3 linked regions of the Lonchura striata genome follow. The protein of the gene in region 2 purifies or fractionates together with the protein of the main gene of each other region. This does not show direct contact. Links are inferred from orthologs where the notes say so. Each region holds a gene or a part of one and is shown on either strand. Other genes may lie near its edges.

Evidence for each region.
Region 1: the proteins of RUVBL1 (region 2) and ACTL6A purify together in Homo sapiens (affinity purification with mass spectrometry; 10 studies listed by BioGRID and IntAct, counting the BioPlex papers as one, with this or other methods). This does not show direct contact. The link is inferred for Lonchura striata from reciprocal best matches to the Homo sapiens genes RUVBL1 and ACTL6A.
Region 3: the proteins of RUVBL1 (region 2) and NOPCHAP1 purify together in Homo sapiens (affinity purification with mass spectrometry; 4 studies listed by BioGRID and IntAct, counting the BioPlex papers as one, with this or other methods). This does not show direct contact. The link is inferred for Lonchura striata from reciprocal best matches to the Homo sapiens genes RUVBL1 and NOPCHAP1.

Annotation. Positions count from the first base shown.
Region 1 is NC_134612.1:20,306,078-20,309,823, reverse strand, and holds the start of ACTL6A (actin-like protein 6A), read left to right. Parts: upstream 1-766; 5' UTR 767-805; coding exon 806-830; intron 831-1,591; coding exon 1,592-1,668; intron 1,669-1,863; coding exon 1,864-2,038; intron 2,039-2,394; coding exon 2,395-2,495; intron 2,496-3,704; coding exon 3,705-3,746.
Region 2 is NC_134614.1:13,220,653-13,224,398, forward strand, and holds the start of RUVBL1 (ruvB-like 1), read left to right. Parts: upstream 1-887; 5' UTR 888-960; coding exon 961-1,101; intron 1,102-1,828; coding exon 1,829-1,915; intron 1,916-2,518; coding exon 2,519-2,651; intron 2,652-3,746. UniProt on the Homo sapiens protein: Possesses single-stranded DNA-stimulated ATPase and ATP-dependent DNA helicase (3' to 5') activity; hexamerization is thought to be critical for ATP hydrolysis and adjacent subunits in the ring-like structure contribute to the ATPase activity.
Region 3 is NC_134607.1:20,280,151-20,283,896, forward strand, and holds the start of NOPCHAP1 (NOP protein chaperone 1), read left to right. Parts: upstream 1-1,432; 5' UTR 1,433-1,455; coding exon 1,456-1,516; intron 1,517-2,276; coding exon 2,277-2,363; intron 2,364-3,355; coding exon 3,356-3,492; intron 3,493-3,746. UniProt on the Homo sapiens protein: Client-loading PAQosome/R2TP complex cofactor that selects NOP58 to promote box C/D small nucleolar ribonucleoprotein (snoRNP) assembly. Acts as a bridge between NOP58 and the R2TP complex via RUVBL1:RUVBL2.

The sequences.
Region 1 (3,746 bases), on a different chromosome or scaffold from region 2:
GCTGCTCCAGCCGAGGACGATGAAGGGACTGCAGTGTTTCGTGAGAAGCTGAGCAAGCAGAGCCTCTCCAGCCTCGGAAGGTGACCTCAAAGTCACCAGGGAGGTGTCAGAGGATGGATCAGGCCCTTCTCAGGTGGTGCTGAGCAGCAGAACAAGAGACAAGGGGCAGAAACTGGTGTAGAGGAAGTTCCACCAGAACGTGAGAAAACTTTGCTGTGCAATGACCGCTCACTAGAAATGACTGCCCATAGGAGATGAGGAGTCGCCCTTACTGGAGATACCCCAGAACTCTCTGGGCGCAATCCTGTGCCACGTGCTCGGGGACGACCCTGCCGGCGCCGGCAAGTGCGACCAGAGGATCCAGCGCGGTCCCCTCCTGCCCGAAGCGTCCCGTGACTGCCCGCACGGTCCCCAGCGCACCTGCCCCGCTCCGCTCGCCCCGCCCGCCCCTGCCCTCTGCCCATCCCCGCCCGCCGCTCCCCTCACACCGCCCCCCGCCCGCACTCCCTCGCCTGCCCGCCCTTCGCGTCCGGCTCCAGGATTGGTTGTCCGCGGCAAGGTCCCGCCCCCCGCCGCCCGGGATTGGCCGGTTCTGCCCGCGCGGCGCTGCTATTGGCGGGCGGGCGACGGCGCTGCGGGTCGGGCCGGGCCGCGGGCGGGGAGCGTGGCCGGGGCGCTTTTGTTGCTGGGTCGGCGGCGAGAGGAGCGGGCGGGGAGCGCGGGCCCCGCGGACACCGGGGCAGGCGGGGAGCGGGGCCGGGCGGCGCGGGCACGGCGGACGGCGGGGCCGGGCCCAGCGGCAGCCATGAGCGGCGGCGTGTACGGGGGAGGTGAGTCCGGCGCCGCCCTCCCCTCCCCCGCCCCGCGAGGCGGCGCGTGCGGCCGCGGCGGGCGCTTCCCGCCTCCCTCAGCCCGGCCCGGCGCTGCCGCGGCCGCTCCGCGCCCCACGCGTGACGGGCAGGCGGCGGCGGCGGCGGGCCTTGTTGGTTCCTCGGCGCCCCCGGGCTGCCTCCCCGGCGCGGCCTTGGGCAGGACCCGCTCTGCCGAGGGCCGGGGAAGGTCCCCGCTCTCTGGGAGCCGGGTGTGGTTCCCCGAGCCCCTCTGCGCACCCCCCGTGGCCACCGCTCGTTTCCGACAGCTTTCCTGTAGGATGTGCGTAGATCAGCGGCGATCGGGCCCGTAGGAATGGGCGCTTATGCCCTGAGCCCTTCCCTCACACAGTTGATGTTTGCACCACCTTCCTCATCCTCATCACCCACAGGGGCTCTGGGCTCACCTGGCTTCGTGTGACTGCTAAATTAGAACTTTCTGAAAGCTTTATCTTGCCATCCGTTAAGCTGCTACTACGTTCTCTCTCTTGTACTAAAATTTTCTTCTAACACCAAACAGGGATTGCAATGCACCAGTTAAAGCCTGTCTGCAGTTTTCCAATAGCTCTCTGGTCGCGGGAGCTCTGAATAGAAAAGTTTGTCCTTGCTTTGTAAAAGATCTCTTGATTTGCTTGTCTTGTTTGCCAGTAAAGCAGGTGGTGGGCAGGGAAAGGTCAGGGTTGCAGAAGAGCATAACCATTCTTTCTTAACAATCTTTTCAGATGAAGTCGGGGCACTGGTTTTTGACATTGGCTCGTACACAGTGAGAGCAGGCTATGCAGGCGAGGACTGCCCGAAGGTGAGAGAATCTGTGCCTCGATGGAAATTGAACATGAATTTATGCCTTAGGTCTTCTTTGTGAGTTACAGCCCTTCTGAACACACTGGGGCTTGTTCTGACTGTATTGTATAAAGAAACTTCGGAATTTGTGAGAAAAACAACAATTTCCAAAACATTACTAGTCCTTATGTACTGCTTGCCTCTTGCCTTGCAGGTGGATTTTCCAACAGCCATTGGTGTGGTGCTAGAAAGGGACAATGGCAGCACTCTGATGGAGATAGATGGTGACAAAGGCAAACAAGGGGGCCCAACTTACTACATAGACACTAATGCCTTGAGAGTTCCAAGGGAGAATATGGAAGCCATTTCACCTTTAAAAAATGGAATGAGTATGGTGCTCTTGTCTTTTTCTACCTGATTTTAAAATAGCATTGCTAGGAAGTTATAGTTGTGTTGGCAGCTGTTATGTACAGCAACAGAGGCCATAGGAACAGATTCCTGGTTTACAAATTGCAGGGAGATGTGGTTGGTTTTCAGTGTTAGTGGGCTTTCAGCATAATTGTTGAAGTTGTGGTGGTTGTGGAGGAAGAGAATTCTGCAGATCTGTTAAAGGAGATGTGTATCTGCTGAGGACAGCTTTTGACTGAAGAACTCTATGCAAAAAACTAAATTGGAAAGCCTTTGTGTTTATGAAATGAAACAAAACTTAGGAGTAACTAACCTGTTTGTCTCAATGTTGTTATAGTTGAAGACTGGGATAGTTTCCAGGCAATTTTGGATCACACTTACAAGATGCATATTAAATCTGAAGCAAGTTTGCATCCTGTCCTTATGTCTGAAGCACCAGTGAGTAAAACCAATTGTGCATTATGATAAGTCTTTTTGCTAACTCTGCAAACATTAGTCCTGGATAAGTCTGACAATGGCTTGTAGGTGACAAGTGCTAAAATGTAGCTACAGAAATGACAGTTTTAAAATACTTGGACAGCTTCTGGAAAATGTCTAAAAAACCCTCATTTTGAAATAGTTTGTATGAGTTGTATTAGAAAGTATTTACAATATGCTATTGTTTTTCACTTACTGAAAAGAAGCCAAAAATTAAAAAAAGAAATTTTACTGCCTAGAATAAAGAGAAAAAAGATGTTTGGATATCTTTTATATTAAGTTACACTTAATAAAGTGCCATCAAAAATCTTGCTTCATTCAGCTTTACAAGTAGTATTAAATGACACAGAACAATATTTATAATAGAGAAGTTTTAATTTTTCTGTCTTTGTTTCTGTAAGTGGTCCTGTAAGGCAGCTGAAGTGGATGAAAACAAAGTTTAAAATGCTCAGCATTTGAAGGCAGATCTTGAAAGTCAGAGTAGAAGAGGTAGACATGCCATAGACAAGTGATGCCTTTCTGTAATAAGACCTTATGAATATTATTTTCTTGAATTTCATAGTTTCCTTGTGTTGAACCACAGCTTTTGGAGTGTGGATGAATTTGCAGTGGCTGTTTGATGGCTCAGTGGATGTCTGAATAGAAACATTCCCATTGAAATTCTGCTTACAAACCTCATCTTACTTTCTTGTATTGGCTTGGAAAAAAATCCACATTTTCCTTAAAGTGTTGAATATTTGAGATATATCCTGGCTTAATAACAACTACAGTAGAATCGTAGGAAGCTGCTTTGGGAACTGGAAAGTCTGGATTTATTTTTCTTCCCACTGGGCAAGTTCCTTCATGTATCTTTCCCCTTGTGGAAGGCAGGGTGCTTGCTTTAGAGAGTTCTTTGGGAACCTGACACTGGAAGAGCTGCAGAAGTGTAAAGAAATCAATTGTAACACCAGAGGTGTGCAGCACTTTTGTGTGACAGATAAGATTGATGTATTGCAGTATAAATGGAATGAAAAACGTTACTAGAAATCCATTTATGTAGAATTGTGGTATAACTTGAAACTGTGGCTGCAGGTTTTCTGCTAACTTCTTTATTGTGTTAGCAATCTATTAGTGTGCAAACGAGAGCTTCCTTTTGGTCACTTACTTGTGGTTTGGGTTTATCATTTTTAGTGGAATACCAGGGCAAAGCGTGAGAAACTGACGGAGTTGATG
Region 2 (3,746 bases):
GGGAATACGTGCTGTGGGTGCAGCACAGCCTCAAATGCTTACAGGAAGGCCTTCAAGATGCAGAATAGAATTATTCCACAGTTTCACTGGACACTAGAAACTAATGAGCGACACCGAGCAGGTAAGAGACCATCCCCACCTTCCTTGGCAGGGGAGCTGGACTAGGTGGTCTCAAGTGGTCCCTTCCAACCTTAACGATTCTGTGAATCTTTGAAAAAGTTTTAGAGAACACCCTTGGAAAGTCTTAATTTATTTTTGTGAGCTAAAGCCAGCAGAGGTTTTGTGAAGGCTCAGGGCTCCTGGCGCACTGTCAGCGGCTGTGGGCGGGCAAGGGACAAGACAGCGAGCCAGGGACACCCAGCGCTCCCGCAGCCCCGGCAGCAGGACAAACGCTGGCTCCAGCGCCAAATCGGATTGTAGAACGAAAGAAAGAAAGAAAGAAAGAGCTGAAGTGCGGCAGGGCCAAAAAACCTGCGAGCAAGAACGAGCTGGCTCCCCCTGCGGAGAGCTCCGCTCGCCGCTCCCCAAAACCGCCCTTGTCGATGCAGAGAATCTCAGAACCACTTAGGCTGGAAGAAACGCCCAAGATCAGAATCCAGCCTATGACGGGTCACCACCTTTTAACCAGACCCTGGCAGCGAGTGCCACGTCCGGCGATTCCCTGAGCGCCTCCAGGGACAGCCACCCCGCCACCTCCCTCCTTCCCGGCCCTACTCCTCCGCAGCGCCCGCGCCCGCCCGGACCGCCGGTGCGCGCCGCACGCGGAAACGGGCGGGCGGACCCTAAAACCCCGAGCCCCGGGGCTGACGGGCAGGCTGGGCGTCCAATGAGCGGCGGGAGCGCCGCGGCGCGGGCCAATGGCGGGCCGGGGGCGGGGCGCGCCGGAGCCGCGGTGAGGCGCGGGCCGCGTGCGAGCAGCGCGGGGCGGCCGGGCCGGAGCTGCCGCTGCCCTGCCCCGCCATGAAGATCGAGGAGGTGAAGAGCACCTCCAAAACCCAGCGCATCGCCGCCCACAGCCATGTCAAGGGGCTGGGGCTGGACGAGAGCGGCGCCGCCAAGCCGGCGGGGGCCGGGCTGGTGGGGCAGGAGAATGCGCGGGAGGTGAGCGCGGGGCCGGGCCGGGCAGGGGCGGCTGACGGTGCCCGACCGCGGGTGGGAGCCGTGCCCGGGTTCTGTGCGGCTGCTGCGCTCTGAGGCGCCGGGGGGCGGCCGCGCTGTGCTGGCTCTGCTCCTGCTTCGCGTAGCGACGGGGACGGTCTCCCGGGTGCCGGCGTGCTCACTGGGGTGTTACAGGCAACGAAACCGAGCACAAGTCTGCGGGTTTGATGCACGTAGGGATTGGAGCATCCGCTCCTGTGCGGGCCGGATAAAGCCATCATAGAATCACAGATTGGTTTGGATTGGAAGGGACCGTAAAGATGATGTCTCGTTCCAGCCCCCTGCCGTGGGCAGAGACTCATCCCACCGGACCAAGTTGTTCAGAACCTCATCCAGCCTGGCCCTGAAAGAAGCTCTGTAGGGGATTTGTGGCTCAGGCAGCGAAGATTAATTTCTTGCTTTACTTTCAAACCTTTGTCTGTGCGTGGGACAGCGAGAGGGAAAAGCAGTCGGGGCTCACAGATTGAGTTTCGTTTTCTGTGGTTTTTAATGTGTGTCAGATAAAATGATTGTAGAAAGTATGTTTCCCGAACTTTCTTTTTGTGTGCATGACACTGAAATCTTTATTTTTTGTAAAACCTGTTATTTCTAAATACTTTAGGTAATGTTGGAACAGAAGATACTATAGCAATACTTGTGTTAACGGTATAAATGCCTATTTAACTTACAGGCATGTGGGGTTATAGTGGAGCTAATCAAAAGCAAAAAAATGGCTGGCAGAGCAGTGCTGTTGGCAGGACCTCCAGGAACTGGCAAGGTATTACTTTTCTGTTTTGTTACAAAATAAAGTATTTCCAAATCTGTTTTAATTTGTCAAAACCGTTTTAGGGTAGTGGTTACAAAGTGTTTTCATATGCCAGATTTTTTTTCAATCAATGTACTCATGTAGTTTTCTACTTGATATTTTTGCTTTTGTGGTATCATCGACACTGGGAGTACCCGTTGTTGTGTTCAGCATCTTTAATGTGAAACCACCTCTTGTAGGTTACTAAACACATCAGTAGCAAGAGCTCTGAAAAAGTTTTAGAAGTTACTTTTTTATTAAAAGCCAGAAAGGTTTTTGCTTGGTTTACTTTTTTTCCTCCATGCTATTTAGGCTTTTTGCATCTGTAGCAGGTGTCAAATTCAAGCAGCCAGTATGATGTCTTCAGGGTTTTTTAAAGCCTTTGGCCAAGGTCAACTGTGTTTGAGGAGGGTTTTTGTATGTGAGAAATATATGTCAGACAGAATAGCCATAAATTGGTAGGTGATATATAGAAGGTGATACAATGAGGAAAGTTAACTTTGTGCAAAAATAATAATTTCTTAATTCTCTTCAAAATTAATGTCTGGGTTTTGTATTTCTTTTTTCCTTTTAAAGACTGCTTTGGCTTTAGCTATTGCTCAGGAACTGGGAAGCAAAGTTCCTTTTTGTCCTATGGTTGGAAGTGAGGTCTATTCCACTGAGATCAAGAAAACAGAAGTTCTCATGGAAAATTTCCGACGTGCAATTGGTAAGTTTCAGGAAAAGAAGAATGAAGTGTTTGCATGATACTTTGCTTTTTCCCAGTCATCTGAAAAGGAAAAACTTTTCAATGGTCAAGCCATTTTCAGGTTTTCATATACTTACTTTTTTCAGTACTGATTCTAATTTAGTGAATCTTTCACACTTAGTGGAGTCAGGTTTTGTGTGTACAAAGTGTAATTTAATTTTTGTATTTTGGTTTATACTTCATCAAATTCTTTTATCTGTCAGATTCACCTCTCCATTTTGCCTATGACTGAATAAAGCTGAAAGAAAAAGCAATTTTTAATTTCTTACATTAGCAGAAATACTTGTAGACAGAAAAATACTCTTCCTATTTTTTGTTCTAGTGATTCCACCCTGGTAAATTAACACTTTTAATCAGGGGCTCACAAACAGCAGCATTAGCCTGACTTACTATTCCAGTGAGCACAGAGAAAGTTCCATGCCAACTGAATAAACATTGTAACTTAATGTCTTCCTCAGTTCTATGCTACATTTACAAGTTTGATGTAAATTGGTTTAATTTGCAACGCAATCTCAGTGACTATCTAAAATCTCTTTACACAGCTGCTGCTGACAGCTGACAAATGCAGAGAGAAGTAGCCCTGGTTTGTGTGAGGATTGGCTAAAGAGAACCCCGTTGATTTTAGTCCTGAATGTATTAACAGAAATTTTCCTGTTTCAGTACCATGTTTCCTATTTGGCTTCATCTGGCAGCAGCAGGGTGAAGAAGTCTCTCAGTTCTTCAGTGAAACAAAAGTATTCCATTGACTTTTATAAGGAAGCAACTTTCAGTAGTCTCTGGTCTTCTGGTTACCATGAAACTGGCAGGGCCTGGGGGAGGGAAGCCTCAGTAGTCTGCAAAATTTCCTTGATGTGATGAAGTTCCCTGTCAGAGGTTTAGAAACCTGAACCAGCAGGTGGAACTTAGGCCATCCATGTTGTCAGTGCTAGAGATAGCAGAGGTTTAACAGCCAGCTACATTGTTAGTTCTCTGCATTTCCTGAATGTCAATAGAGAGACTCTTCTAAACAAATATTAGTGTTAATGAAAGATGGAACTTCTTTTATTCCTTTCTGTT
Region 3 (3,746 bases), on a different chromosome or scaffold from region 2:
AAAGGTGCAGGTAGCAAATTCAGTGGAATGCACCTGGCACTGTGGGTTGGCTGGGGAAGTGGCAGAGGACACTTGTTTGGGACAGTCAGTCAGGAAAACAGCAGGGTGGTCTCTTGCTTGAGGCCTTGCAGAGGTTTGCTTCTTATTCATGTTAATTCCAAGATACTGGGATCTGGGTGATTTGGTTTTTTCCTGTGTTCTTTGCAATGAGGGCCTATAAACACCACTTACCTGATTACTATTTATTCTCATTTTCATCTTGGACTTCCTATCTTGTTTCTTATAAACCATTCAATTTTCTTTTTGCATTTTTCATATTGTCTAGATATGCAAAGACAGAAACTGCAGAAGAAATCCTGAATAACAGACTGGACAGTGTCAGTTGAACTTGGTGGTTGTGTAAGTTTGTTTTCCAGAGGATGATTACAGCTCTCTCAGGGTCTGGCATTTAACTTTTAAGTTCATCTATCAAATTCTGAAAATGAAAATGGGAGAGTTTTGAGAGATAAGCAGCTACTGACAGGCATTCAAATGATGTTACCTGTGGCAAGCACATTTCTCTCCCTCTCAGGATTTTTCATAGAGGTGCACAGAGAGAAATGAAAGAGAAAACAATTTCTATTTCTGCTCCTTGTTTTTCCTATGTGGAATGTGTTTGGAGAATTGTTTACCTGGAGTGAGTGCTTGATTGGATTCTGGTGAGATTGTTTGAGCCTGATGGCCAATCCAATCCATCTGTGTCCGGACTCTCGCGAGAGGGTCACAAGTTGTGGGAGAGTTAGAGTCAGAGAAAGTAGAATGTAGTTTTAGTATTCTCCTTTTATATAGTATATTAATGTATTTTAGCATAGTGATAATAAAGAAATAATTCAGCCTTCTGAATTGAGTCAGACATTGTCATTTCTTCCCATTGTGTTCGTCTGCATTTACAGTAGTTACCTGCTGGCAGCTTGGTTCCACAGGTTTTTAATGGTGATGGGATGGACTTTTTGTGCCAAATCACAGAATCAGTCAGGTTGGAAAGGACCATAGTGGATCATCTGGTACAACCTCCCTGCTTAAGCAGCGTTGTACTTGAGCACTTTACACAGAATTGTGTCCGAACAGTTTTTGAATATCTCCAGTATGGGAGACTCCACAACATCCCTGGGCAATGTGTTCTAGGCGCGTGGTCACTTGCACAGTAAAGAAGTTCTTCCTCATGTTCAGGTGGAACTTGCTGCGCATCGGTTCCTGCCTCTTGTCCTGTTGCTCGGTGCCACCAAGAAGAGCCTGGCTCCATCCTCTTGCCACCCTCCCTTGACGTGCTCATGTTGAGTGGCGCCATCTCCCCTCAGCCGCCTCTCCCGGGCTACGCCGGCCTGCAGCGGCCGCGGCCTCCGCTGCTCCTCCCGCCCGCCGGGGGGCGCGCGCGGCCGGGCGCGCGGGCCGCTCCCCTTCCGCGCGGGCGGGCGCATGGCGGGCCGCGGCGGCGCGGCGGCGGCCCGGGAGCTGCTGGACGTGCGGCCCCGGCCAGGTGAGTGAGTGAGCCCGGCCCCGGCCAGGTGAGTGAGTGAGTCCGGCCCCGGCACGGCGAGTGAGCCCGGCCCCGGCCAGGTGAGTGAGTGAGTCCGGCCCCGGCCAGGTGAGTGAGCCCGGCCCCGGCACGGCGAGCCCGGCGCCGCCTGCAGCCAGCGGGAGCTCGGCTCGGCCACGCTGCTCGTGGTGCCGCCCGTGCCCCGCTGGTGATCGCGTCCCGCGTGTACTGAAGAGCTACCCTCCGGGGAGGGGTAATGCGGAGTAGATAAGCGGGGAAATCCGCGCTGAGCTATGGGCAGTCGTAAGGACGCTTCTATGTGACCGGAGAGAAAAGTTAAATAGAGCGGTGCGCTTTGGTGAATGATGCCGGGCGGATGGCTCCGCCGGCCGTCATAAGGATAATTAATGGGTCATTAATGCCGAATTCCTGGCATCGTTTGGGTTTCCCGGCTGCCCACAGTTAGTGGAGGTCGCTGGCACCGGGATTTAATCGGTGCGACTGGCGCGCCTCAGCTCCCACCTCACCGAGCCTCGCAGAGGGGGATTAGAGGTTGTTTTTCATGCGTTTTAACTTTAGCTTAATTAAACTGTCTCAAAAACAGCTTAAGGAACTTCAGCTTAAACTGGAGTGTGTGAGAGGTGGCCTGCAGGGTGAGAACCTGTGCAGCCCAGTTTTCTTCCAAGAGCAGCAAAAGCAGATGGTAATTACGGAAAACTTGTCAGCTTAAACAGTTCAATACTCGTTTGTTTGTTTGCAGGGCTGGAAGACATTTTGCTGATTAATTCAAAATGTAGCAGCAAGAATGCCACAACTTTACAGACTATTAAGGTGCCAAGGAGCAATGGTAAGTAAGGAGGAGTTGTCGCTGGAAGTGGTCAAGTAGTAGGTAACATTTGTGACACAGCTTTTGCTTTGGTGCTTTCCTTTAAAAGGTAAAGAGAGAAGCTTTTGGGTTCAGTTTCTAGAGATAGTAGGTTCTCCTCCCATTACAGTTCCATGTCCCACTGGTGAGTCACGTAAATGCTGCTGCTGCTGCAAAATTAGATTTTGCAATGCTAGGCATTACAGCTCTTGAGTTTTAGGGACAGATGGTTCTTTCCCAGTATGGAGTTGTAGCTTGGGCTTCTTATCTCTTTTAGAAGTAATTTCTCAGTATGATGTATTTGTTGTATAAAAGCATTTAATTTAAAAAGGACTCCTGTCAAATTATTTTTTTTATGTTTTGTGATTGAGCTGAAATTTTAAAAGATTGTTCGATCAAATTCTTTATTGGATAAAAATCTCTACAAAGATGACAGTGTTTCAAAGATAGCTTATACTTGTTAGGCTTTGTGGTGCTCACCTGAAACAGTACCTCTTCTTAAAGAAAGAAAACTAGTGCTTGACTCATCTCCATGTGTGGAGCAGTTTATTTGAAGAAATTCTGGAGGTGAAAATACTGTCTTTCTCCATGGAAGGGTTATGAGTGTGAATCTCCTAATTCCATTGATTACCTTAAAATTCTTGTGAAGTCCTACTGAGCTGTAGAGGATGAGTGCTTTATACTTCAGCCTGGAGTTTCCATCTTTCTCCCACTGTCTTAATTTCAGAACTTCTTTTGTTAACTATGTTGACCTTTCATTGGTCTATTACGGCATCTGCTACGGCAAATTTTTCCATCTTCTTTGAGACCTTCAGTCTATACTTAATTATTGCAGATAGTCAGAAATTACAGTTGAAACAGAATCAGCTATAAAGGCTCATATCTGAGGTATAAATGTGAACACTAATGAACATCTCTTTGACTTACATTTATATTTATATATAAATATATCTGTGATAATTGTTTCTTTTCAGTTTTGGACCGAGTGCAGAGCTTTTTACCACAGATGGCCCAGGCAAATGATGAGCTCAAAAGAAAAATGGTAACAGCACCTGCTCATGAGTTTGATATTGAACATCTAGACAGTGAAACAGAAAAAGTTATAGAAATGGTAAATGTTTTTTTTTATTATTTTAATGTAAATATAGATGGGATTAAAATAACTCTCTGATCTTAGAATGAGTAATATGATAGATAAAGTGAAGTCTTGACCATTTTCTTTACCAAGTCTTTGATGTTCTAATTCAAAACACAGATATAACTAAACATGCTTATTTGGTTGAAATTTGCATCCTGGTTTTCATACTTGCAGAATTTAATCACTAGGGATCAAGTAGTTTAAGAACGGAGTAAGACATGCTGTTG